Danio rerio: one gene and its partner. The protein of the gene in region 2 interacts with the protein of the main gene of each other region in a biochemical or structural test. Links are inferred from orthologs where the notes say so. Each region holds a gene or a part of one and is shown on either strand. Other genes may lie near its edges.

What was found.
Region 1: of the proteins of h2ax (region 2) and ppm1da, one has a biochemical effect on the other in vitro, tested with the Homo sapiens proteins (3 studies listed by BioGRID and IntAct). The link is inferred for Danio rerio from reciprocal best matches to the Homo sapiens genes H2AX and PPM1D.

Annotation. Positions count from the first base shown.
Region 1 is NC_133190.1:29,433,833-29,437,848, reverse strand, and holds the end of ppm1da (protein phosphatase, Mg2+/Mn2+ dependent, 1Da), read right to left. Parts: intron 3,895-4,016; coding exon 3,713-3,894; intron 3,626-3,712; coding exon 3,395-3,625; intron 1,873-3,394; coding exon 1,504-1,872; 3' UTR 746-1,503; downstream 1-745. UniProt on the Homo sapiens protein: Involved in the negative regulation of p53 expression. Required for the relief of p53-dependent checkpoint mediated cell cycle arrest.
Region 2 is NC_133180.1:31,151,402-31,154,349, forward strand, and holds h2ax (histone H2AX), read right to left. Parts: upstream 1,265-2,948; 5' UTR 1,222-1,264; coding exon 793-1,221; 3' UTR 648-792; downstream 1-647. UniProt on the Homo sapiens protein: Variant histone H2A which replaces conventional H2A in a subset of nucleosomes. Nucleosomes wrap and compact DNA into chromatin, limiting DNA accessibility to the cellular machineries which require DNA as a template.

The DNA of each region.
Region 1 (4,016 bases), on a different chromosome or scaffold from region 2:
TAAGCTTAAAAGCAAAGCTTTCAATTTACCAGTCAATCTACATTCCTATTCTCACCTATGGTCATGAGCTTTGAGTCATAATCGAAAGGACAAGATCTCGGATACAAGCGGGCACACTCTTAGAGATAGGGTGAGGAGCTCGGAGTAGAGCCACTGTTCTTCCACATTGAGAAAAGTCAGCTGAGGTGGCTCGGGTATCTGTTTCGGATTCCTATTGACACCAACCTTGGGAGGGGTTCCAGGCATGTCCCACCGGAAGAAGGCCTCAGGGAAGACCCAGGACAGCTGGAGGGACTATGTCTCTTGGCCAGCCTGGGAACGCCTCAGGATCCCCCCGGAGGAGCTGGAGGAAGTGTCTAGGCAGAGGGAAGTCAGGGGTTCTCTGACTGCTGCCCCCGCAACCCGCCCATAGAAAAGCGTTAAAAATTGAATGATGAATGAAAAGTTATACTGTGTTAGTTAAAACAATTCAAAGTATTTTTTTCTATTTATTTTTTTATAATATAAAAAAAATTAAACAAATTAGGAAATTACCCTTGGCAACTTTAATGTAAAATGGTTTGGTATATTTATTTTCAGCCTACGGCTAACAAATGAGATTTGATTTTTGGACCTTTATATGAAACAGTTTGGGCACCCCTGACTTAATGGTTGTCCACATTAAAGAATTACTTTTAATGATTTAAATGAATAATATAAAAAAAACTCAGATGTAAACATGGGAACAGATATTTCATATCTTCAATACATCCTATGTTTTTATTGACGAAAACGTTTTTTTTTTTTTATTGACCTGTTTAGCATAGCAGCACCTTCAGTTTAGAATGACACTTACTCCCATCAGAGAGACAAAAACAATGTTAATGAAATCCGTGGAAACATTAAAATAACTGTTTAAAATGCATAATTCATAAAGTTCATGCTCACATTCTACATTAATATTAAACCTTATGACACAGGGTTAAGATATCAGTGAACACTACAAATGATTTACCGTTCTCCTTGTCAATTAAAACCATGTACAAATACAACCAATAGCATTGATCCCAAAAACTATTTTTGAAACAGGTGACATGTTAGCTGCAGAGAGATATCTTCTCAGAAGATAATTTCTTTTTTGGTCATTTTCCCCCACAGTTCTCCAGGCAGCACAAATCCAAAGTAAAGTGCAAATATCCCTAGTTGACCCATCATCTCTACCTGACTGACCCGAAGCGTAATAGAAGTGAGCAGTGGACATACAAAGGTGTAAAAATTAAAACTCATTTAAAATCAGACAAAATCTCACATTTTCATTTTCAATGGTCTGTAAAATATAAAGTATAACACAAAACACACTAAAGCTGGAGTGTTGTGAATGGAAGCGGGTGATTTTTTTTTTCTTTTGACATTGTTACTTGTTTCAGGATTTGGTTTCTCGATAGCTTATATAAACTATATGAATATCAGAGTCTGACCGTCCAGCATGAATGAATGGATTGCATTGTAACAGCAGCACAAATGTCAGCAAACACATACAGTAGTCTTCCCATGCTGAAGCAACACTTGGGCGTTTTCAGACTGACCACTTCCATCACCATTGTTCCTGGCCGAGGGCTCTGTACTTGGTATTTGCAAGGATGTACAAGAGGACTCTTTAAGAGAGGACTGGGTCAAACTACTACGGGGCTTCTTCCCCACAGGAGAGGAGGAGAAATCCTCGAGCACCCGTTTGCCAGTCGGTGTTCGGTCACAACTGGCCCCATTTTCCAGCAAGTCATTACAGGGCAGGTCCTCAGAGTTTGTAAGGCTGTCAGAAGATTCAAATATTATGCTTGCACCAGAGCTGTTATTTTTTTGTTCCAGGATGGGCTGTACTGGAGCATCAGGAACCTAAAAAAGAAGGAAAAACCATTATTGAAAGTAAAGTTTAAGCGTGTTGTTGTTTTTAGGGTGTGTTCAGATTGAGTTGGTTTGATTAAAACAACCCTGCTTGAAAATGCCCTGTATGGACACTGCATTTGAAAAAAAAAAAAAAAAAGTGTTAAGCCATTAGAGCTCTGGCATGCACTGAACAGGCATAAAGAGACTTAAAAAAAAAAAGATGGGTCTCACTCTCAATCCTTTCCCTAATGAACTCAGGTGCTATTTAATAGAACTATGAATGCAACAAATCAATGACATTTTAAATAAATAAAAAAAAATGAGTTAAAAAAAATCTTGAAATCACAAGAAGCAAACAATGGACAGATAAATCAGCTGCATTACCCATAACAGTTTAGTACAGGAGTTGAAGATGCAATCTCCTTGTAAATTAATTTATAGTACAGTTGTGACTCCTTTACTTATTTTATAATAATTATACAATTTAAAAGTTAGATGTAATAGTTTAAAGTTAAAAATAAGTTATAATAAGCTCATTATGTGTTCTCAGCACATAAAAATAGCATGTTTTTACACAAACATCAGGTGGAGATGAAAAGTTCGGATCATTTTACTGACTCGGACCTTTGAGTGTCGTTCAGTGAGTTGAACGAATCTTTTTGAGTCATTTTGTTTAATTTGTCAAAATATTATTAAAATGTTGCGAGTTGCTTCCAAACTCATCTACAACTACAACAAACATTGATCACACTACAAACAGGTCATAACTAGAAAACTAGAAAATAATCATTTACAGGGTTCAACGGTAAGGATTTTTCCTATTGGCTTGACTGGACCAGTGGTTCAGATTTTTACTTGCCCTGCCAAAATTTTCACTGGCCCCACCAAAAAAAAAAAAAAAGAAATAAAGTTAATTGCTATTTCTTTGCCACATATATGACATAATTTGTCACAAAATAATGTATGTAAATCTAGAATTTAAATTTCAAACGTTAAAATATTTAGCAGTAAAATATAGCCTGTGGAAAATGTCCAGGTATTTTATTGCAAAACAAAAGGTGGCTGACTTAAAAGTGACGGCAAACTAAGCAAAACATCACTTCATTTATTTCATCGTGTTGTACCCATGTACAGGTTTCCATAACGTTAGAAGCAGACATTTTCTTTTAACCTCATAATTTAATAAAAGAAGACTTGAAAACATAGCTAATCTTTTACTCTACCTGCACAGATGTGTGCATGCTCAAATGAACGAATCCCTCCCTGGGAGGACTCATCGTTCTCAAGTCATACAAAGGATTTGTTCAAGAACGACCCATAACTAACAACAAGCATATTTAGCTGTTTTGAATGTTCAGTAATGTCCAAATATTTGTCATACAATACTTTTTTTGTTTCATTACTTTAGGTTTAGTCTTTAAAAAATATTTTCTTTTATTGTCCAGACCAAGCAAACAACTGTGAACACACAAATAATTTAAAACCACAATATAATCCATTACAAAAGAAAAAAGATTAAAACATTCCTAACCTGAGTCTGCAAAGAGTTGGTGCAAGGTTTAGAAACAGCGCCACATTTTGTTCCTTGAAGATTGTACACGGTCTCATAAGGTGGCAAACACTCGCTGGATGTCCCAAATGACTCCAAAGAGATAACAATGGCACTGGTATTATCAGCACGGAGCATGCGCTGACGCCATCTCAATAAGGCATGGTTCACAAGCAGAACAGCATTTGAAACATTTCCCTTTTGGTTCTTCGCCTGTTGGAATAGGCATTCATGTAAGTGAATGCTTCTAAAAGTAAACACCAATGACATTGGCCTAAAATATCAGGTTAAACGACTCACCTTGGCCTCATCATTGTCCTGACAAATAGACACAGCCTCCTGCGGTGATACCATGTTCCATAACCCATCACTGCCTAAGATAATGTAGCGGTGCTGCTTCAAATCCAGCTTGATAACAGCAGTATCAGGCTCTGGGGATACTACAAACTCTCCACTGTAGAAGTCATAACTCCACAAATCACCTAAAGACACATTTAGTGCATTAAATATCTAAATGTGTATGCTAAAAACATATAAAAATCAGTTTTATGCAATTTAGTCAGCCAAGCTTCGATTTGCATTGGCAAGATCTTTAAAAACTTTT
Region 2 (2,948 bases):
ATGTCTACTTTTTACATCAGAGCTTTTTTTCATCTTTAGCTTTTACGTAAACGGAGTAAAAAAAAATGTGTCAAAGTATCCCACATTTCCTTTTATCACTGGAAGAATATTCATGTAATAATCAAAGTACTGAGGTGCTAAGATTTTATGGGTGTTTTAGCACCATGTAAGATTTTTACTGGCAAAATTAGCTGTCTAAGTTCGTGTTAATATTTTATATTTATGTAGCAAGTTGTAAAGTGCCTTCCAAATGTGAAATTGACCAGCTATACTATAGCAATTACTTGGCCAGCAACATTGTGTTGTCAAATCAACATGAGAATGAATTAAAAAATGTGTTATAAATAATAAAGTATATCAACAACCCCCTGATGAGTTCTTTGGTTTTTTGCTGACACTGGAAAACAAGACTCACACTATCGTTCACTCATACATAAAGACTTTTTACATTATGAAAAAGACCAGAGAATTACTTTGCCTTACCTTGTGTTTATGAAAACCTAGTTTCCGTTTTCCAAATTAACTCGTATAAATTAATTATGAGAAAAAAAAAATGTACCGTTAAGAAATAAACACTGAAGTAACGTAAATTCTTAAATTGTGATAACAGTTAGCCTAAATCGGTTCAAAAAACACCAACATTAACATTATTAAAAAATGACAATTTAATAAGCAAAGCATGCATCTCAAAAATACAAGCTATATCACATTCAGACACATGGAAATTGCTCTTTTCAGAAGAGTTGGGTGGCCCTTAAAAGGGCCTTTGGATGAATTAGCTCAGTTCAACATTTAATACTCTTGTGACTGGGAAGATCCCTTCTTTCCAGATTTGCCGGAGCTGGCTGCAGCCTGGCCAGTCTTCTTGGGCAGGAGCACGGCCTGGATGTTGGGCAGAACACCGCCCTGTGCGATGGTCACTCCGCCGAGCAGTTTGTTCAGCTCCTCGTCGTTACGGACGGCCAACTGGAGATGGCGAGGGATGATACGAGTCTTCTTGTTGTCTCTTGCGGCGTTTCCCGCCAACTCGAGGATCTCAGCAGTCAGGTACTCGAGCACGGCGGCCAGATACACGGGGGCACCGGCGCCCACTCGCTCAGCATAGTTGCCTTTACGAAGGAGACGGTGAACACGGCCGACGGGGAACTGAAGACCGGCGCGGGAGCTGCGAGTCTTAGCCTTAGCGCGGGCTTTTCCTCCGGTTTTACCTCTTCCAGACATGTTGAATGGCTTACTTAACTCTTCGCGTGTGCAAGAAATCAGTACATTGGCAGTGAAACTGCTGCAGTATTTAAAGACTGGTTGAACGTTCAAAGCATAGTCCCGCCCACACATTTGATTGGTTGCGCGAAGGGAAGTACAGACCTGATTGGTTGTCGGTGGTGAAACCAGAGCGGATGTAATCCCCCATTGGCTTGAACTTGCAGTGCATAAACAGCGCAAAGTAACGAACCAATCAGAGTGTATCTGAATATGCGAGAGCTGATTGATTCGCTTGGTTCGTCTGCGCTAGTATTGGTCTTTCTTTACCTCAATCACATTTCGGCGGTAAGTTCAAACCAATTGAACATATTCCCTCTGAATTTTAACACAGTTTGACGCAAAACCAATTTTTTCATTTGTTTAACCCTCTCATGTACACTTATTGTGACGTAATATTTTATAGATTTAATTCACTCAATGTAAATGTCTTTAAAATGTGATTTGTATGCGATTTCTTTAAAATGCACAATGAATTAAATCACTTTGTCGTGATGTGACACTAAAGTGATTCAGTGTGCATTTTAGATAAATTCACTTTTAGCTGATTAATAATGGGAAATAAGAAAGGAGGAATGGTTTTTCAAAAATAATTTATTCAGAATAAATTAAACATCAAATGAACAACAATATAAAGCTCCGAATACCTCAGAAGGCCCAGCAGCAGCACCTTCACTTCAGATTGTTCGCTGTCATCACAACATTTTGCTCATACATTTTTCAGGCTTTATGCTCCAAAATGACTATAAAGCGCTGAGCCATTGACTCGTGACCTGCAATTCACTGTATAATTGCTAAAATGCTTTCCTGTAGCTATTATTTTGGTTAGAACACCCTTGCCTTTATTATAAGTTCAGGTTATTTGGAATGAAAAACAAAAGTCTGAGAATTGCATTGAGTCGTATGGGTGGGGAACCCCAGCAGACTATTTTTTAGTTTAATAGGCGTCTAATAGACATCTAAACATAAACAGCTTGGATTAGTCAAAACTACACTAGTCGTCAGATAGACAGACTTTATATATGTAGTCATTAATTTCTGTTTATTTGATGACTAGTCTAGTTTTGGCCTATTTTAGACGTCTACTGGAGTTTCACTGACAGCCCTTTATTTAGCCATGAGGACTGTTTAGACGTCTATTAGACATCTTAAAAAGGGAAGATACTGCGAGAGATTCTTTAAAGGGACAGTTCATCAAAATGATATTTGATTGGGGGTTTCAATCCTGTTTCGTGCAACATGAAGAGTTTAATGCAGATAACCAGCTTCAGTTACCACAGCATCTTTATATCCATCAAATGAAAATGAATGGTGACCACGTTGAGTAGGAGGTTTGAGTATGAACTACTCCTATATTTGACCTTACATTACCAGAAAACAACAAAGCCTCCTGCTTAGTATTACAATAAAAAGCTACCACTAATAAAATCTACTTTATGTATTTGACGTGCAAAAGACCTTTATTGCAGCTCACTTTAAATAAACGCGGTTGTGTGTTACTGGGGCAGCGCCTGTTCGGTTTAAAAAGCCATCTCTGAAAAAAATAAAGCGATGAAACTTATTATACCTTTTATATTAGCCCCTGAGGTTTCACGTGGACCCTGAAAATAGCACTTTCCCACTGCAGATCCAGCCTGATGCATCTCACGAGGTTGTAGATTTACAATAATTCCTGGAATAATTTATAA